4 linked regions of the Saccharomyces cerevisiae S288C genome follow. Changing the gene in region 2 together with the main gene of any one other region gives a genetic interaction. Each region holds a gene or a part of one and is shown on either strand. Other genes may lie near its edges. The genes, in order: IRA2, SNF1, NBP2 and REG1.

Region 1 (6,026 bases), on a different chromosome or scaffold from region 2:
AGAAGAGATAAGCCCTAATTCCACCTCTAATGTGGTTGTGTCAAGAGAATGCTTGGATAACTTCATGAAACAACTCCTTAAGTTGGAAGAATCGTTAAATAAGTTGGAATTGGAGCAAAAGGTCACAAATAAAGAACCTAACCACAGAATAAGCGGTACGATTGACATACCAGAAGATAGGTCCGAACTAGTGAACTTTTTCACAGAGTTGAAAACAGTCAAACAACTTGAGGACGTTTTTCAACGTTACCATGACTATGAGAGGTTATCACAAGAATGTGACAGTAAGACGGAAATCGCCTCTGACCATTCGAAAAAGGAAACTAAAATAGAAGTGGAACCCCCAAATGAGCGCTCATTGCAAATCACAATGAACCAAAGGGACAATTCATTGTATTTCCAGTTGTTTAACAACACAAACTCTGTTTTGGCAGGCAACTGCAAACTGAAGTTTACTGACGCTGGCGATAAGCCAACCACGCAAATTATTGACATGGGTCCTCATGAAATAGGAATAAAGGAGTACAAGGAATACCGATACTTTCCATACGCACTTGATTTAGAGGCCGGCTCCACTATCGAGATTGAAAATCAGTATGGAGAAGTGATCTTCTTGGGCAAGTATGGCTCTTCTCCAATGATTAACTTAAGGCCACCTTCAAGATTATCTGCAGAAAGTTTACAGGCATCCCAAGAGCCATTTTACTCCTTTCAAATCGATACGTTACCAGAACTGGATGACTCTAGTATCATCAGTACATCCATTTCACTCTCTTATGACGGTGACGACAATGAAAAAGCCCTGACTTGGGAAGAACTCTAGGTCAAACTCTATTTTTATACAGCAATGAGTACCTTTTCACATACACATAAATATATTAAATATAATAAATACAATAAATATAAAATAACCCTTTTCGAAACTCTTTACTTCCTAAGGCCTCTCATTACTTATCACCTAGCATCATGCTCTTCATACATGCCATCTACTTTCAAACGATATACGGCTAACCAGAAAAGTACGGACAATCAGGGACGAGCAGGGACATGACGCCTTCCGCACAGATCCCAGAGAAAAGCAGGGAAACAAGAAAATAAGAAAACAAGAAAAACAGTAGTTACCCTTGTAAGTGTCATCCACAACAGAACCAATACTCTTACTCTTCCGCTCATTCCCCGCAGAATGATAGAACTATTCTAAATCCCCTTGCCTTGCTTGGCCTTGACTTGGGTTGGGACTTGGACCTCTAGAACCGATGTGCCTTCAAACATCTTAGCGAGATAAGAGTCTGCCATTAATGCATCGAGCCAATATCTTGGACTAGTACGAGGTTCACGTAGCCTTTCTTGCACGGCACCAGCGTCCCACCCCAAGTTCTTTGCTATACTGACCGCCTTACACATTTTAGTGTGATTCCAACCCAAAGTAGCTCCTCAAAAAGGGTCACCCGATCGGTGAATCAATCCGCGGCGCAGAAATGTTCGTAGAGCTCTCGTTTCTTCTAGAACGCTCCCTTGATGAAACGAAAATTTCCATCACAATAAAGCTCGCACGCCTTTTTGAAAACCCCAAGCTTTGCTGTGTCTTCTTGTGAAAAGTTTTGCCCAACGATTATCTATTCTACATATAACCGGGGAGTTAAGCACATCCTATTGCCCTACATTCTCTCCGCTTACTTCATTGTCTAGAGCTCCTGGGAAACAAAAGACCGAAAAAGCGAAAACAAAATCAGAACAAGGCTTAAGTACTTTTTCACCAATTGTAGCAAACATTTAACCACATTTTAGCACACTAGCATATAGCATTGTCCTCTGTTATTCGTTTTGCTTTTCTCCTTTAGTGTTACTTTTCCCCCAACGTTACACCATTTTTTGATATCAACTAAACTGTATACATTATCTTTCTTCAGGGAGAAGCATGTCCCAGCCCACTAAGAATAAGAAGAAAGAACACGGGACCGATTCCAAGTCATCCCGCATGACTCGGACGTTGGTTAATCATATTCTTTTTGAAAGAATTCTCCCGATCCTTCCGGTGGAGTCTAATCTAAGTACCTATTCGGAAGTGGAAGAGTATTCCTCATTCATTTCATGCAGATCTGTGCTCATTAACGTTACCGTTTCCCGAGATGCAAATGCTATGGTGGAAGGCACCTTGGAGTTGATAGAATCGCTTCTTCAAGGGCACGAAATCATTTCAGATAAGGGTAGCAGTGACGTTATTGAATCAATACTGATTATACTAAGATTGTTAAGTGATGCGCTAGAGTATAATTGGCAAAATCAAGAAAGCCTTCATTACAACGACATTTCGACTCACGTAGAACATGACCAAGAACAGAAGTACAGACCAAAGCTTAACAGTATTCTGCCCGACTACTCGTCGACTCATTCCAATGGCAACAAACACTTTTTCCACCAGAGCAAACCTCAGGCACTGATACCGGAACTGGCATCGAAATTGCTTGAGAGTTGCGCGAAGTTGAAGTTCAATACAAGAACTTTGCAAATTTTACAAAATATGATCAGTCATGTTCATGGAAACATTCTAACGACTTTGAGTTCCTCGATTCTTCCCCGCCACAAATCCTATCTGACAAGGCACAACCATCCTTCTCATTGTAAAATGATTGACTCTACTCTAGGCCATATTCTCCGATTTGTAGCGGCTTCCAATCCGTCCGAGTATTTTGAATTTATCAGAAAGAGTGTGCAAGTGCCCGTAACACAGACACACACGCATTCACACTCCCATTCACACTCTTTGCCATCTTCCGTTTATAACAGCATAGTGCCCCACTTTGATCTTTTCAGCTTCATCTATTTAAGCAAGCATAATTTTAAGAAATACTTGGAACTCATCAAAAACTTATCGGTGACGTTAAGGAAAACGATTTATCATTGCCTACTTTTGCATTACAGCGCCAAAGCAATAATGTTTTGGATAATGGCTAGGCCTGCGGAATATTATGAACTCTTCAACTTATTAAAAGATAATAACAATGAACACTCGAAATCCTTAAACACGTTAAACCATACACTTTTCGAGGAGATCCATTCGACTTTTAATGTGAATAGCATGATAACCACCAATCAAAATGCTCATCAAGGCTCATCTTCCCCTTCGTCCTCCTCGCCATCGTCACCACCTAGCTCATCATCATCGGATAACAACAATCAAAACATAATAGCAAAATCCTTAAGTCGTCAGCTTTCTCACCACCAGTCATACATTCAACAGCAGTCTGAAAGAAAACTACATTCTTCATGGACTACAAACTCTCAATCCTCTACTTCACTGTCATCTTCAACGTCTAATTCAACAACAACTGATTTCTCTACTCACACTCAACCAGGAGAATATGACCCTTCCTTACCAGATACTCCCACGATGTCTAACATCACTATTAGTGCATCTTCATTATTATCTCAAACTCCAACTCCAACAACACAATTGCAACAGCGGTTGAACTCAGCAGCTGCAGCCGCCGCCGCAGCTGCTTCACCATCGAATTCCACCCCAACTGGATACACAGCAGAGCAACAAAGTCGCGCTTCATACGATGCACACAAAACTGGCCATACTGGTAAGGATTATGACGAACATTTTTTGTCTGTCACTCGTTTGGATAATGTTTTGGAGTTATACACGCACTTTGATGATACTGAGGTACTACCACACACATCCGTACTGAAGTTTTTAACTACTTTGACAATGTTCGATATTGACCTTTTTAATGAATTAAACGCTACATCATTCAAATATATTCCTGATTGTACTATGCATCGTCCAAAAGAAAGAACAAGTTCTTTCAATAATACTGCACACGAGACAGGTTCCGAAAAGACTTCGGGTATAAAACATATTACACAAGGCTTAAAGAAATTAACTTCTTTACCTTCCTCAACCAAAAAAACTGTAAAATTTGTGAAGATGTTGCTAAGAAATTTAAATGGGAATCAAGCTGTATCAGATGTTGCCCTCTTAGATACAATGAGGGCCTTACTATCATTCTTTACAATGACTTCTGCGGTCTTTCTCGTGGATAGAAACTTACCCTCAGTACTTTTTGCCAAGAGACTCATCCCCATAATGGGGACAAATTTAAGCGTCGGTCAAGACTGGAATTCAAAAATAAATAACAGTTTGATGGTTTGTTTGAAAAAAAACTCCACCACGTTTGTTCAATTACAATTAATATTCTTCTCTTCAGCTATTCAATTCGATCATGAATTATTACTGGCACGTCTGAGCATCGATACAATGGCCAACAATTTAAACATGCAGAAGCTATGCCTTTATACTGAAGGATTCAGGATATTCTTCGACATACCAAGTAAGAAGGAATTGCGGAAGGCAATTGCGGTTAAAATTTCTAAATTTTTCAAAACATTATTCTCCATTATAGCAGATATTCTTTTACAAGAATTTCCGTATTTTGATGAGCAAATCACCGACATAGTTGCTTCCATTCTTGACGGTACAATTATCAATGAGTATGGTACGAAGAAACATTTCAAGGGGAGCTCACCCTCTTTATGTTCGACAACCCGGTCAAGATCAGGATCTACATCTCAAAGTTCAATGACACCAGTTTCTCCGCTGGGACTGGATACTGATATATGTCCAATGAACACCCTGTCTTTAGTTGGTTCAAGTACTTCAAGAAATTCTGACAACGTTAATTCATTAAACAGTTCACCAAAGAACTTGTCTTCTGATCCATACTTGTCACATCTTGTGGCCCCAAGAGCGCGTCATGCTTTAGGTGGGCCATCTAGTATTATAAGGAATAAAATACCGACTACATTGACTTCACCTCCAGGAACGGAAAAATCTTCACCAGTACAACGTCCGCAAACGGAAAGCATCAGTGCCACACCAATGGCCATAACAAATTCTACTCCATTATCGTCGGCAGCATTCGGAATTCGATCGCCTTTGCAGAAAATAAGAACGAGGCGTTATTCCGATGAAAGTTTAGGAAAATTCATGAAATCAACAAATAATTACATTCAAGAACATTTGATACCAAAAGATTTGAATGAAGCAACTCTTCAAGATGCTAGAAGAATAATGATTAATATTTTCAGTATTTTTAAGAGACCGAATAGTTACTTCATCATTCCTCACAATATAAACTCGAATTTACAATGGGTTTCGCAGGATTTTAGAAATATTATGAAACCGATTTTCGTCGCCATCGTAAGTCCGGATGTAGATTTACAGAATACTGCTCAATCATTCATGGATACCTTATTATCGAATGTTATTACTTATGGTGAATCAGATGAGAATATCAGTATTGAAGGGTATCATCTTCTTTGCAGTTACACTGTAACATTATTTGCAATGGGCCTTTTCGATTTGAAAATTAATAATGAAAAGCGTCAAATTCTCTTGGATATAACTGTCAAGTTTATGAAGGTTAGATCACATTTAGCAGGGATCGCGGAGGCCTCACACCACATGGAATACATAAGTGATTCTGAAAAACTCACCTTTCCGCTGATTATGGGGACTGTTGGTAGGGCCCTATTTGTTTCATTATACTCTAGTCAACAAAAAATTGAAAAGACTTTAAAGATTGCTTACACAGAGTATCTTTCTGCAATCAATTTTCATGAGAGGAATATTGATGATGCTGATAAAACTTGGGTTCATAATATTGAGTTTGTAGAAGCGATGTGTCATGACAACTACACAACTTCTGGTTCAATTGCTTTCCAAAGGAGGACAAGAAATAATATTTTACGATTTGCTACTATTCCTAACGCTATCTTACTTGATTCTATGAGGATGATCTATAAGAAGTGGCATACTTACACACACAGTAAAAGTTTAGAAAAACAAGAACGGAACGACTTCAGAAATTTCGCGGGTATTTTAGCCTCTTTGTCGGGTATCCTATTCATCAATAAAAAGATATTGCAAGAAATGTATCCATACCTACTCGACACCGTTTCAGAATTGAAAAAAAATATAGACTCTTTTATCTCAAAACAATGCCAATGGTTAAACTATC
Region 2 (5,057 bases):
GACTATAAGTACTAATCTGGAATCTAAGATTTTGCAGCATTTGAAACTCATTGAGGCTAGGGAGCACCGACTTGTTATGATCTTTGAGATCCAAAAGTATCTTCCTGAATACAAAGAATGGCGCCCAGTTGGATTCTCTGATGACGATTATTCTCTTTTCTCTAGTTTGAGAATATACCAGAGGCGTATTGAGGAAAATTCAGTGAAGTCATTAGAAGAAATTGAGCCACCTAAGGATTGGGAATGGGAAGCCAATTCTCATTGGGTGCTTGATTTGGATCCAAAAGAATGGGTAGAGGACGAATTTATTCAGTATGTCGAGATAGATTCAGAAACAAAATGGGTCTATGACCTCAATCTTGATGGACAAAGGGGCTCATATAGAAGGCGAATGTGGACCAACAGTTGCGTGCGGAAAAAACTGGATTCTGGTATTTCTTCAAACCTTGGTGAGGAGGAAGTAGTTAATCCATTGAGGGAAGAAACATATAGGCAAGGCGTACATGGCGTGACGAAGGGTTCAATGAGTGGCGGTCTAACTCACAGTAGTGATGATGACCGCGCTGATGAGGAAAGTATAAACGGTACTATTCCTAATCTCAACAATATCGACGCGGATGCATCTTATCCGTCAATCGAAGAGCTAACAGACACTCTCAATTCAACTATATAAACTTGATTTGTTATACTATATGTTCACTGATGATACAGTCAACTTTTCATAAAACTTTCTAATGACAGTGACGAACTTTTCTTCTTTTCCATTTTTTTCTCTTGATTTCTTTTCGATAAAAGGTTTGTAAGTGAGTTCAACTTTCTCTTCTTGGATCTCTCCTTACCAGTACTAGTTTTACTCTTTTGGGGCTTCTTTACCGCGTACGAAACCTTCCCGCTGCTGGTACTATTGATCATCGGACTAACATCTTGTCCAAATGTTGGAACAACGAACTCAGATTTCCACTCAAACAATTTAGACTTTTCACAATTCAAGCAATTAACCTGGATACATTTTTTTGGTCCTTCCATACTCTCGCCGCCAAGTTCGTCGGAGTCACCTTGCTCGGTATTAGTCGTTAACTGAAGACTTGCGTTAAAATTAGGAACGTAAACACACCCGCAATGGGAGCAAAATTTCCCACTTTTCAGTTGTTCTGGCAGCATGATTTGATATCGCTTCACAGAATTATGAAAATTTTTATAGTATAGTCCCGATAACGCTCTGGAATTCAGTGTTGGCAGTACATGTAGTAGGTTGTATTTTTGTCGCAGACTCCGTTCTTGATATTTTTCTGCCTGGTCTTTATTCATTTTTGGGATCCTTTTGTTGTACGATTGTCAAAGGTTCAGTATTTTTATTGTAGCCACTAGTAGTACTCATCTCTATTTTCACATAGAATAGCGTTTTCAATTTTTCTCATAGAGCGTGAAATTTGCTTTTCATCCGAAGAAATAATGCCAATAAAAGAACATTCACATCAATAAATTATGTTCAGGTTTATTTAATCAAGATTGTTTACTTTATACAAAGGGATATTATAAAGATGTTGCAAATACGTTACGATACATAAAAAAAAGGGAACTTCCATATCATTCTTTTACGTTCCACCATCAATTGCTTTGACTGTTAACGGCTAATTCCATAATTAGTTTTGTTGTTAAATGTAAAAATGGGTAGGCTGAAAAAGTACTCATTTCATCTTCAGAAATATTAGAAACAGTAGTATCATCTCCATAACTACTTTCCCAGCCGTCAAATTTGAAATCCACCAAATAATTATTGGTTTCAATTTGAAATAATTGAATTACCATTTTCATTAAATCAGGTATTTTTTCATTAGTGTTTGTCTTGTTTCCAATATCATATTTCCACCTTAATTTGATAGTCCATAAATCCTCTTCAGATGGCTTGGCCCATTCGGCACCCAAATTCTTCAAGGCAATATAAATTTCACCCATAACGTCTAATGGATATGAGCGAGATCGTATACCAAAATGCCATCTCGTTTTAGATTTTTTCGTTACAAGAGGAGATATTTTAGAGGCAGCTGGCGAACCTTGTGCTAACATATTAGCTCTGTGGATCTGAGGTAAAGATGTAGGCAAAATGGAAACTGTAGAGTCTTCTTCTTTATACTGATCCATGAAGGGTGATTGGTGATATGTCCTTTGTTGAGTGATAGCACTTGCCATCCTTCTTGCGTGTTGCTTGGCAGTTTCATGATCTACTTGACTCTTTTGATGGGATTTGCTTTGTTGTTGAAAAGTTGGAGGTGACTGGGACAGAAAGGTATCCAGTTCATCACTGACGCTTTTGTTTGCCTTCATATCCTTGATCAAAGATTTATTCTCCTTAATCAACATGTACGCGTCCCTAATTTCGTTGAATGCAGGAGTGTCTTCTGATGATTCTAAGGACTCATAAATCTCGTCTTTTTCGTAACCCATGGTCGATGATAAAATATTGACAAGGTTGTCATCAATTTCATCGTTATCTGGGCTGCTGCCATCCTTTTTTGAGTCATTATTTTCATTCTCTTCTTCTGGGTGTGGTTTCAAATCTGGTGGAAGTAGATATTCTGGCAGGTCAACTTTGAACCAATCGTCTTGCATAATTTCATGAATGCTTATTCTGTTCAATGGATTAACGATTAACATTCTTTTGATTAGCCCAGCAGCTCCAGGAGATAAAAATTTAGGCAAGGTGTAAACACCGTTGCTGATATTCTTGAAAAGCACTGGGATGCTTTCATCGTCAAACGGTAGACGACGACAAAGCATAACATAAAGGATAACCCCACATGACCACACGTCCACTTCTGGGCCTGCGTACAGCTTACCGCTGATAACTTCAGGAGCCGCATAATTGGGAGAACCACAAGAAGTCTTTAAGAAATTACCATCAGTCATGATGTTTGACAAACCAAAATCGGCAATCTTTACATTCAGATGCTCATCTAGTAGTAAGTTTTCAGGCTTCAGATCTCTATGGACAATTTTGTGCCTATGGCAGTACTCGACGGCACTGATGATCTGCTGGAAAAATCTTCTTGCCTCTTGCTCGCTCATTTTGTCTCTCTGAACAATATAGTCAAACAATTCGTTCCCGGCGTACTCTATAACCATAATGATTTCATCTTTGGATTTGATAACATCATACAGTTTGATGATGTGGGGGTGTCTTAAGAGTCTCAGATAAGATATTTCTCTTTCAATTCTGCCCTGCATATCACTCTTTGCCAAAACCTTCTTATTAATGATTTTTAGAGCAACTTTTTGGCCCGTAGTGGTATGATATGCCAATTTAACTTTACCAAAGGACCCCTCTCCCAGCGTTTTGACGATTTGGTAGTTCCCGATATGTGCACCATCCGCTAAGGACGACTTGGGATTGTTTAGCGTCGAGTTGCTTCCGCCATGACCGTGATGGTGGTGGTGATGGTGGTGATGGTGGTGGTGGTGGCTAGAATTTGCATTGGCAGGTGCTGTGTTTGTGTTGTTGTTACTGCTCATGTTGACTTTATTAAGGGAGTGTAGCAAAACTTGTTACAAAAAAAAACTTCTATTTCTTTCGCTATGATTATTGAAACAGCCTCTATATATTATCAAAAGCCAATGACACTGAAACAATTTCTATTGTCGTGCTTTTTTTTTTTTTTTCAGGCTTCAATCTATTGTTTATCGTTATACTTCCTGAATGACTGTTTGGACACGAATGCGCAGTAAGAGGAAATGTGAAAAAAGAATATTTCGATAAATGAAAGTTCTGGTAACAAGCCTACAGTACTAAGCCCAAAGCTATGTCTTGGCCCCTATAACGCTACCTGTTGATGTGCCATACTCTTACCAACTTTCTTTTACGTTAAAAATTTCCATCCCCTTCCGCTACGAGAAAAACTGCAGAGGGTAACTATGACATGTACTTTCTAATATGGGCCTATAAGGACTATATACATATGACTAACATTGAGTAAAACCAGGTCTCGAGTCCCATCATCACGCCCATCCTTTTGCATCCACGCCGCCACGCAATTCCTCTTTTTTTGAAGTTACTTGCGTCATGTGGGACATCATATGGGACATCATAGCCTGCAAGATCGAGAGTTAAATATACGACTAAAAGAAATAGTAGCACACTGCCATTTCCAGCTTTTAGTCCCTTGGGGAAGGTTCAGCATTTGATAGCAAATGATTGTACAGTTTATAACCGTATCTAAACGTACGGACATGTTTTTTCCTAGGGCCTCTATTAAAAAAATCTTTGAAATTTCCCTTCAATGCCACCCTTTTTTGCCAGGCATTGGTGGCCATGATTTGTTATGGCTTCCAAGAAAAGGTTTTACTACAGACGCCTTTACTACAGAAGATGCCTCTTCCTATCGTGATTTGCCCTCCAGACAAAAGCCGCGGACATAACGATGGCGGATTGCATTAGACAATGATTGCTATACGGAGGCGAAAGAGATAGCTAGCGACTTCTTAAAGGCGACATTGCTCCGCTACAAACGTGGTGGAGTTTTAACCCTACGAATTCAGTTACAAGGTTGAAGTTAGTGAGCAGCTTCTGTTCTGCCGTTTCTTGCGCAGTCTTGAACTTTCTTGGTCTTGCCATGTGGTCGGGATATTCTGTTCGTTTATAATTACTCCTTGCCACAAAGTGCACACCTATTTGGATATGGTATATATAAAGAGTGGAGGCTTATATCGGCGAGAGCGTGCGTTCTATCAACTCAAGCAAGTATACGGGTATACACAAGTATGTGGGATTCGTTAATTGTAAGCATCAACGATACGCACAAGTTGGGGCTGGAGGATTGTCTCGCCGTTTTTGGCCACGTTCCCATTACCAAGGCCGTCAAGCATGTCAGACTGACAGAGATCGACACGCAGACGTCCACGTTTACGCTCAAGTTCCTTCACACAGAAACGGGTCAGAACATCGAGAAGATTATCTACTTCATTGACAATGACACGGGCAACGATACCCGCACTGCTACCGGAATCAAGCAAATCTTCAACAAGATGTTCCGCATCGCTGCGGAGAAGAGGAAGCTGTCGCT
Region 3 (3,895 bases), 630 kb from region 2:
TGGAATTATCGAGTTAGACTTCATTAAATTATTGAACTTTATAGGAGTTACTCATGAACATGAAAATTTCCAGCAATATTTAAAAATATTCAGAAATTACGATTTAATTGATTTCAAATTGATCAAAGACAAACCGAAGGATAAACCATTTCAAAAGGAATGGTTTCATGATACTTTAGTGAATGATCCAAATATCTATCACACTTCAAGGTTCGTTCCCGCTGTAGGGAATATTCTTTCAAAGGTTATAGCGAATCCATTGTTATTGAGCGAACAATACTTCCCATATTTAAAGGACAAGCCAATTGAGTTATTGAATGAAGAAGAATTCCAAGCAGGCTTAGCGAATACCTCTGCTAACTCCTCCTCATCCTTAAGGAATCCCCGTCACAAGGCAGCTTGGACCACGAAAAGCTCTAATATAAAAAAAAACATACCTAGACAAAGATTCTTCTACTATGTTATTGGTGGTATATCAATTCCCGAAATTAAAGCTGCTTATGATCAATCAAACTTGAAGAACAGAGATATCTTTATTGGCAGCGACGAGATATTAACACCAACAAAATTCTTAGATGAAGTGGAACGTTTACAAAATCCTAGAGAATTTTTCAAATTCAAGGAAGATCAGCGCCAGCAAGTAAACCCGCCTGATTTCCTTCTAAGGGAAATGAAACCGGTGGCACAACCAGTCTCTCATGTTCATTTAAAAAGCCAAGACAATAGTCCTAAGTCTGGTACTTCTAGTCCCAAAGCAGCAGGTTCTCTCAAGTCAGAACCACCCGAAAAAGAGAAGAAACGTAGCAAATTCTCGAGGTTCTTGAAAAGAAAATCTCACCATGATAAATGATCCCTTAAAGAAGACAGTGATAAAAAAAATCACTTGCTCTTGTCAAAAAAAAAAGATATAAACGTACTATTTATGTATCGTTCCTATGTACTATCTAACATGCTTATGGAGAAATTCTTGATGATATTCAGATTTTGTCATATCGTTAATGTATCCGGACGCTGATTTTTTTGTTGCATGTTCCTTAATATTTGTCTCTTTGGTTACTTTATGGCGTCCAAACGCCGTGCCCTTTCTCCACGATCGCCTAGACGAATTTCCTCCCTTTAATTGTTCATTTCCTTCAAGCTCTGCTTTATCTTCCACTTTATTTTTTTGAGTAACCAGCAGCTCTTGCAACGAGTCTTTTTGGTCTTTCTCACTGCGGGTTTCTTGGAGGTTCCCACTCCCCACAACATCCTGTTTCTCTTCGTTCATTACTGCCTCCTCTAAAGATTTATCGTTGCTCCTATCTTCTTGCGCACAGTTTGCTCTAAGATTTTCCTCCTCTTTAAATTTCCTGTATTTTAATGTTGTATGTCCTGGTAGTAATCTGGCATGCTCGATGCCTGTTGGTGTATAAGCGGCCGCTTTTGCACCGCTTCTTGCTTCTAACTGTGGTCTGTGTGATGTGGTCATGGTCTTGTAGCCCTTTCAAATGCCAGCCTCTGAGCAAGTTCTTTATGGAGCCTTTTGGAGCTTTGTCATTCCTATTTCCTTTTCGTGAAGAGATAGACTATTATTTTTAGTCACACCAACTTATTTTTCCAGTTGCGAGAAATGGAGAATTCACTTCAGAAGTAGCTTGTAATGGACAATGCAACACAGTGCACAGTAACAACACGCTCAATCACACATAATAACAGCTACCAATAAAACGTGATAGATACTAACAAATTTTAAGTATTTTTCTCAACTTTACCTTACTTTAACTTCCACTGACATATTTATTGAATCTACGATGGCAACGATGGAAACGACCACACAAAAAGATACCAATATTTTGAAATCTGGTCTCAAAAAAACTATAGGTGTTCTCAATGAGGCAGTATTACAGAACGGGAGAGAGGTGGAGGCAGTGCAGGCAGGAAATAGTGACACAATGGAAGATACAGAAACAACCACAATAGGTTATATATCAATCAAAGATTATGCGTACGCAGATTCGAATCCTCTCCATTATGGTTATTTTGATGGAGACAATGAGGAGGATGAAATGGTTTCAGATTCTTCAAATGGAGAAGACACATACAATAAAAGACAAAGTATAACACTACCAGACGACTACATAGTTAACCAACGTGCTGTTGCCCTCTACGATTTCGAACCCGAAAATGATAATGAATTGAGATTGGCTGAGGGTGACATCGTATTTATCAGTTACAAGCATGGGCAAGGTTGGCTAGTAGCAGAAAATGAGTCAGGATCAAAAACAGGGTTGGTACCGGAGGAGTTTGTCTCTTATATACAGCCGGAAGATGGTGAGAACGAGGTGGAGAATAAGGCTCGACCTTTCTATTTGACACATTTGATTACACAGAGCGTTAGTCCTAAAAACAATATTGATAACACTAACGAAGATGAATACGACGACAACGATGAATGGGAAGATATTGATGATGTTGCGGAGGTCGAAGCAGATATGAAAACAAAATTAGATATATCGGATTGAATACAAATTCCAATTGGTTATGACAGTAAAATACTCACTAAAAACAGATAAAGAGGTCACCACCCTGGCGGTATGCCTGGCCGAATCTTCTTCCATCTGTTCTATGTCATAATTTCCGTTTCTTACGGATATATACATATATATCAGTGTATGTACTTATGCATATGTTAAATTAGAAGACTATTAGTCAGAATATTCTTCCTCTATGTCCAACTCTTCCAAGTCTTCATTCTCATTCACTAAATCACCCTTCTTGATTTGTGTTAACTCACTTGGATCTAGAGGACCACCAATTTCTTGGAGTAAAGCATTAGCACCGCCCAATAATTCTTGCACAATTTCATCTTTGCTGTCAGCATTGACACCTGCTTGCAATGCAAAACTTAGCGCTAATCTTGAGTCATAGATTAACTGGGAGATTGGTTCGTGGGATAAATCCAAAGGAACTTCTTGAATGAGTTGGTTAAACTCGTATATATTTTCCGGACGCAGGCTTACTTCGGGATTGTTCAACTTGAAAATTTCTAATTTACTCATTAAATAATAAGTAAAACCCTCTAGATAATAACCCTCTATGTTATCCTCATCTATATCTCTTACTGCGGCAATAACTTTCAATGCGACTTCGTAAGCTCCCACTTCGAGGCACATCTTTGTTAAAGATAAAAGAGGTTGTAAAAGATCTACATACTCTGACTGTAAACCAGCTTTCTGAGTTGTGTCACCATTTTCATTTATACCGCTACCAATTTCTTGTTTTTTCAACTCAAAGAAATTCCAGGCTTGTGAGAATGCTTCATAAGCTTCTCCAAATTTTTGTTGCGAGATTTTGATAGAACCCAGGGTAGACCATGTTTCAGGAGATTTTCCCTCTGTGAGTTCCATCGCCTTTTGTATTAACTCCTCACACTGCTCTTCTGCATTTGGCTCCATACATAAATCCGTCATCCAAATTTCAATCACAGAAAGCAGTCCACCTACAATCTTTTCAACCTGAACGTTGGTTAACATTTCACCTCCAGTATTAGAGATGTTCATTATTCCGCGAGTTATTATCGATACACCATCCTGTCCACCCATGATTTGACCCATGGTAAAAAATTTGTCCGGTCCGCCAACTTGTCCCTCAGGATCTAATTCGCAAGCACGCGCTAAAATTGGGTAGGCTTTCTCTACCTGTCCATTATCCAGGTATGCATCGGCAAACACTTCATTCAGTATTACATTGTTTGCGTTTTCTTTTTTCAGTGAACTTTTGAACGGCTTCAATATTTTGAGCGCCTTTTTGGCATTATTTTCAGCCAGGGCTTCTTTGGCTTGCCTAATTGTGGCTTCAAGTTCACTCATATTCCTTTTTTAATCCTCAGCCTGAAGATGCTTTTAGGTATAAGTTC
Region 4 (6,636 bases), 910 kb from region 2:
TGAGAGGATCCTTGAAGATCCCCTATCAAATATGAAAAACTACAGATTTAGTAAACAATCAAACTATAGTACAAAAGAAAAAACACCGTTAAGTATAGGTGTTAACTGTCTTGATATTGATGATACTGGTCAAGTGTTATTAGGAGGTGGAGATGATGGGTCACTTTCCATTTGGGGTTTAGATGAATCATTGCACCGCAATGATGAAGGTGAACAGGAATTGATCAATAAAAGGCTAAACTATATCAAGCGACAGCCTCACCAATCAGATGATGAGCCTGCTCAAATAATGGGTTATAAAAATAAAAGAACACGAATAAACGACAACAACACTATGAGACTGGTGCACAGTTTTCAAACACAGAGAAACAAATATCGAATGTATAGACAGTCTAGTGCTGCAGTTCCAGTTCAAAGATCACACATATCAAATAAAACGGATTCTCCTATCGGGTTTAGTGAGACACTATCTGAAACAGATTCAGAAGCTTCCATATCTCACCATAAATATGGTATAACAACTTTGAAGTGGTATAAGGCTGATAATGGGATGTTTTTTACTGGCTCAAATGATAAAACTGTAAAAATATGGGACACAAACAGGTTTGAAGCGGTTCAAGATATAAACCTGGGGTATAAAATAAATCAAATTGATAATAACGTTGTCGACGACAGTTCTTTGCTTGTAGTGGCAAGTGAAGACTACTATCCAAGATTAATTGACCTGAGAACCATGAATTCAGGGGTAACTGCGCTTGGAATGGGAAATCAAACACGAATGCAATCAGAAATTTTATGCTGCAAATTTAACCCCGTCAGGGAACAGATTATTGCTTGTGGTGACATGGAGGGTGGGGTAAAATTATGGGATCTAAGAATGAGGAACAGACTGTATTCAGAATTGAAAAGAAATAAAAATAGGTTCAAGACTATAAATAACGATGATAATGACGATCAAAGCGATGTCTATTTCAGCTCTAACCAATCAAAAGCCCATCTGAGATGTTGCAGTGACATTGTTTGGAATAGTGAGGGTTCAGAGCTATGTTCAGTCGGCATGGATGGAAAACTGAATGTTTGGAGGCCATTTACGGAAATTCTGCAACCAGAAGGTCTAGCTAGTTATTCCCAGTTGGGAACACAAGACCTGAGCCGTATCAAATACAAAAAAAGAGTATCTCGAAGGTTGCTTTGGTTTGACAAGTTTTTACTGTGTATTACTGACAATGGTGAAGTAGAAATATACAATACGGAGGAAAAAAAACTTTGGAACAAGCTCGAATACCCAATGGTTAATCAGGTAAAAAAAAATCAGGCTTCGCATTGTCAGTTTAGTTCCATGATTGTGCAAACAAATATAATGAATTCAGTTGGCCTCAAATTGTTCTTTGGAACTAACAACAACACCGTTAGCGACGGCGGATCCATCTTTGAATGTTCATAAGTAATAAATGCCGTATAGAATATGATAATAGTCTTCGCGGCTCTTATAATTGAACCAATGTAGGTTTGTATTACCCGGAAACGTATATCGCTACACACGAATATACAACTAATAGCTATATACAAATGCTTTCATCTCAGACTTGGCAGGTATATTTTACCAAGCCGCTTCACCTCTTATCCTCCACTTCATGCATACTTTTCAATAGAGAGCATTTCTTACCACCTCACCTTAGTTTCAGCTGTAGCCTCTTTTCTGACATAATATTGGTAAGTCGGGTTAACCAATTCCGGGCCGAAAGCTTTTTTTATTCACTCTATTTTTGTTTGCATTTAAACTCACAGTGGATATTGAAGGAAGGAATCAGCCCTGAGATTGTGTGACAAGCCTTTTGCAAGACAGAACAGGAGAACAAGAAGCCATAAAAGAAGAATAGACAAATATAAATACTTTTGTTTGAATACCCCTATCAGGTCTTTTAAGGAATAAAAAAGGAGAAAACAGGAGAATATACCATATAGGAGACGCGATTTCAAACGAAAGCTTGAGAAAGGGTTATCGCTGAAATTTAAATAGAAAGAGAAAATATCACAACTAGAGTTAGTATTCTTTTTATCGTTCATCAGCTCTATCAAGATATAATATTTGCTCATCTTTATCTCTCTTATTTTTTTAACACCACCTCCTGAAAGAGAACTAATTGGTATACTAGTTTTACGAGGGCTAGCTTTTGGCTGTTATACGTATAACCACACACCTGGTGTTCTGTACGAACGTTGAAAAGTCAAAGCAAGGGGGAAAAGATAATATCCTTGAAGATTATAAATCCTAAAGCAAGCATATTGACGAAGACGAGATAAGAAAAATCCAAAAATGTCAACAAATCTAGCAAATTACTTCGCCGGTAAGAAAGATATTGAAAACGAGCATGTAAATAGAAATGCGAGCCATGAAAGTAATAGCAAAAGTGATGTCAAAATTAGTGGTAACGATAACGACAACGACGAAGATATGGGGCCTTCAGTATCGATGGCTGTTCAAGCGAAAAATGATGATGATTTCCATAAATCAACTTTCAACCTTAAAAGAACAAGATCAATGGGCCTTCTTGATGAATATATTGACCCTACCAAGAAATTGCTAGGAAGGTCAGACGACTTATATGATAACGACAATGAATATTATGACAACTCATCTAATAATTCTTCAAGCAATTCTTCAGATGATGATTATGATGACGGCTATCAGGAACACTCAACCTCCGTTTCTCCACCGCCGGCGGATAATGATAGCTACTTAATTCCACAAGATGATAATGACGTAGTGGTAGAGCCAGAAAGACATGTTGACTATCTGTCACATGAATGGAAAGAATCAGAAATTTCTAATTCTTGGAAATATATCATCCTAAAGAAAAAGAAAAGAGATGTTGATCTAGTAAATGCTGCTAGGTTAGAAAATGCCTCATGGAGAACATGGGCAAAAGCAAGAAACAACTTGAAAACAGTGTCACCTGAAGTGGTTAATTGGTCAAAAGATTCTGATGTGACTTGGCTATATGGCCCTATTGTAAGAGATTCTGAAGGTAATGCCCAAAGTGAAGAAGAACATGATCTAGAAAGAGGATATGGTTCGGATGATGAAAATTCCAAGAGAATTTCAATGCCCACTAAAAATTCAAAGTCGATCGCAGCTGCTCCGAAACCAATTTTGAAGAAGAGAACCGTCACAGAAATTATAGAGGACAACGCTTTATGGAAACTGAATGAGGCAAGAAAACACATGACAGAAATGAAACATGCTTCGGTAATAATGGATCCCAATGGCAACAAAAACGTCCATGACGATTTCGATGCTCTGGCCGCTCAAGTTAACGCCCAGTACTACCATTATCCCAAAGAATCGAACAGTAGCGTTAGTTTGAAGAGTCAACACTCTGACAAAAAAGATAATTCTACCATACCGAATCCTGTAGGAGAAAATTCAAATGGTGGCGGTGACAAGGGAGAAGAAGACCTGCATTTAAAGTCAGCGCTTCATGTTCAAAACAATAGGTCAACGGCACAATCAAACAAAAGCATACTAGAAAATAGTACCAATGATCGTAAGGCTAACTTGGATCAAAACCTAAATTCTCCTGATAATAATAGGTTCCCCTCCTCAACATCTTCCTCCAATAGAGATAATGAAAACAATTCCATGGGATTATCATCAATATTAACCTCAAACCCAAGTGAAAAATCTAACAAACCTACTAAAAATAGACATATACATTTTAATGACAGGGTGGAACAATGTATGGCACTACGATATCCAGCTTCACAATCGGAGGATGATGAAAGCGATGATGAAAATAAACAATATGTTGATGTTAATAACAATGCGAACGTTACAACAATAAACAACAATAGGACTCCATTGCTAGCCATTCAGCATAAATCTATTCCTATCAACTCCGCAACTGAACATTTGAACAAAAATACTAGCGACGATGATACATCCTCACAATCATCATCTTCATCACATTCTGATGATGAAGAACACGGCGGCCTTTACATAAATGCAAGATTTTCCAGGAGGTCTGACTCTGGAGTTCATTCACCAATAACAGATAATTCCTCTGTGGCTTCATCTACTACTTCCAGAGCTCATGTACGTCCCATAATAAAGTTGCTTCCTGATACCACTTTGAATTATGGATCAGACGAAGAATCTGATAATGGCGAATTTAATGGGTATGGTAATGCTGTGTCACATAACGTCAATACCTCCAGAGGCTATGATTACATATACGATTATAACTCGGTCTACACTGGTGATACTTCCAGTTTTTTACCAGTAGATTCATGTGACATTGTAGATGTTCCTGAAGGAATGGACTTACAAACAGCCATTGCAGATGATAATGCATCAAACTATGAATTTAACAATGCGGTAGAATCCAAGGAAAAACATGTTCCACAACTACACAAAGCTTCAGCAAATAATACAACACGTCAACATGGATCGCATATGTTATTATATGACGACGACAATTACAGCTCTTCATCAGATAGCGAACAGCAATTTATTGAAGACTCACAATACAATAGTAGCGACGACGAAGAGGAAGAAGATGACGATGACCAAGAAGTAGACGATAACCACGATGAAGGACTTTCACTGAGGAGAACATTGTCACTTGGGAAATCAGGATCTACCAATTCTTTGTACGATCTAGCACAACCATCACTCTCTTCGGCAACTCCTCAACAAAAAAATCCTACTAATTTTACAGGGGGTAAAACTGATGTAGACAAAGATGCACAACTGGCTGTCAGGCCGTATCCGTTGAAGCGCAATTCCTCTTCAGGGAACTTCATATTCAATTCAGATAGTGAAGAAGAGAGTAGCAGCGAGGAGGAACAAAGACCATTACCCGCTAACAGTCAGCTGGTTAATCGAAGCGTATTGAAAGGCAGTGTGACACCAGCAAACATATCATCTCAGAAGAAAAAAGCCCTTCCAAAGCAGCCAAAAGCGTCCGATAGTTCACAAAGCTTTAGAATTGTAAATAATACTCCTTCACCAGCCGAAGTGGGGGCGAGTGATGTTGCCATAGAGGGTTATTTCTCTCCTAGAAATGAATCTATCAAGTCTGTTGTTTCCGGGGGAAATATGATGGACCATCAAGATCACTCAGAAATGGACACTTTGGCAAAAGGATTTGAAAACTGCCATATAAATAATGCTAGTAAGCTAAAGGACAAGAAAGTTGATAGCGTGCAAACCACTAGAAAAGAAGCGTCTTTGACGGATTCGAGTAATGAAAGCTTACACAAAGTGGTGCAGAATGCAAGAGGTATGGCAAGCAAGTACTTGCACTCTTGGAAAAAGAGTGACGTCAAGCCACAAGAAAATGGAAATGACAGCAGTTAGAAGAAAGAATTTTGAAGTCAACATGAAGAGAAAATAAAAATCCAGGTAGTGTGGATCAGTGCCGTCTTTAGGATCCAAGTAAGCTGTAATCGACTGGCATTGTCAAGGACAAATGTAGACAGCGAAGCAGTTATTTTACGTACACAATTAAATTCGCTCCAGATTTCAAAACTTCTTTATACCTTTACAATATTTGGTACTTATGTACAAGAACTTCTTGAGCTTCCATAGTCGTATGTGTGTTCTATATATTAGCAATTAAACGCAGCTGATCTAAGATATGTTCGTGGGTAATGATTTTCAGATAGAGTACAATCAATGTTTTCTTCGATCTTTAAAGGGTTTTTCCTTTATAAAGAAGACACCACACAACAGTCTAGAAAGTAAACAAAACAAACTACGACACGGCTTGTTTTAGGCACAACTTTGTTTTAGGCAGAGCTTACAGTAATTGGCAGTATTGATATCCTAAAGCAGTATTAAAACAATTTAAAGGTTTGGTGAGGTATCTGGCCAATGTCAATAAGCGAAACACCTCATAATAAAAGCCAGGGACTGCAAAAAGCGGCTGGTCGTCCTAAAATTGTTGTTCCTGAGGGATCGCCTTCTCGTAATAGTGATAGTGGCTCTTTTACTATAGAGGGTGATACTTCCCTTAATGACGACTTGTTAAGTATATCTGGCAGTGTCACACCAAGAGCGAGAAGATCTTCGAGATTAAGTCTGGATTCAATAACGCCGCGAAGAAGTTTTGATTCTAGGACACTATCTGTTGCAAATAGTAGATCATTCGGTTTTGAAAATGAAACACATAGTGGGTCCATGGACTTTTCGCCATTGGGAAATAACTCCATCTATGAAATTGTGATGAACACAAGGAGGAAAAACTGGCTCAATTACCCCACTGTTGCTGATATTCCACAAGTTAGCCTAAGCAAAAATGATCTGGATGACCATTGGAAAACTCATGTTATCGAATACGTCAAAAACATTAAAAGTGATTACCAAATATTTCAAAGCACAAATAATATAAGAAACATGAATCAGATGGAACAGTTAAAAGAACTGCGAGAAGGGGAAAATATGCATGAGGAGTCGTTTGAAGCAAATCTGAGGCAAGGGGATGCCGAGCTAATAAATAGTATACCTGACTTTTACTTTTCAGACAAATTTCAATTAGATAACCCTCGAACTTTTCATAAAGTGTTGGACGCTATCGATTTATTTTTAACGAAACTAGACATGAAGAGACAAGCGGAAAGGGATGAGGCTTT

The links.
Region 1: mutations in SNF1 (region 2) and IRA2 together harm fitness more than expected from each alone (negative genetic interaction), as found in Saccharomyces cerevisiae (5 studies listed by BioGRID).
Region 3: mutations in SNF1 (region 2) and NBP2 together harm fitness more than expected from each alone (negative genetic interaction), as found in Saccharomyces cerevisiae (4 studies listed by BioGRID).
Region 4: of SNF1 (region 2) and REG1, changing one suppresses a phenotype caused by changing the other (phenotypic suppression), as found in Saccharomyces cerevisiae (12 studies listed by BioGRID, with this or other methods).

Annotation. Positions count from the first base shown.
Region 1 is NC_001147.6:169,152-175,177, forward strand, and holds the start of IRA2 (Ras GTPase activating protein IRA2), read left to right. Parts: upstream 1-1,918; coding exon 1,919-6,026. Other genes in the region: ATG19 (Atg19p), read left to right, coding at 1-823. UniProt on the Saccharomyces cerevisiae protein: Inhibitory regulator of the Ras-cyclic AMP pathway. Stimulates the GTPase activity of Ras proteins.
Region 2 is NC_001136.10:1,410,826-1,415,882, reverse strand, and holds SNF1 (AMP-activated serine/threonine-protein kinase catalytic subunit SNF1), read right to left. Parts: upstream 3,511-5,057; coding exon 1,609-3,510; downstream 1-1,608. Other genes in the region: PEX29 (Pex29p), read left to right, coding at 1-673; SNM1 (Snm1p), read right to left, coding at 712-1,308; YDR476C (uncharacterized protein), read left to right, coding at 4,756-5,057. UniProt on the Saccharomyces cerevisiae protein: Serine/threonine protein kinase essential for release from glucose repression.
Region 3 is NC_001136.10:778,996-782,890, reverse strand, and holds NBP2 (adaptor protein NBP2), read left to right. Parts: upstream 1-1,790; coding exon 1,791-2,501; downstream 2,502-3,895. Other genes in the region: SEC1 (Sec1p), read left to right, coding at 1-850; U2-type spliceosomal complex subunit CWC15, read right to left, coding at 941-1,468; ACL4 (Acl4p), read right to left, coding at 2,685-3,848. UniProt on the Saccharomyces cerevisiae protein: Negatively regulates the high-osmolarity glycerol (HOG) pathway through its negative regulation of the HOG1 kinase activity. Mediates the binding between the PTC1 phosphatase and the PBS2 MAP/ERK kinase (MEK).
Region 4 is NC_001136.10:496,561-503,196, reverse strand, and holds REG1 (protein phosphatase regulator REG1), read left to right. Parts: upstream 1-2,317; coding exon 2,318-5,362; downstream 5,363-6,636. Other genes in the region: RAD28 (Rad28p), read left to right, coding at 1-1,444; YDR029W (uncharacterized protein), read right to left, coding at 1,783-2,097; VPS54 (Vps54p), read left to right, coding at 5,879-6,636. UniProt on the Saccharomyces cerevisiae protein: Involved in RNA processing and negative regulation of glucose repression. Regulates the level of two antigens, P43 and P70. Binds to protein phosphatase type 1. Functions with REG2 and SNF1 protein kinase to regulate growth.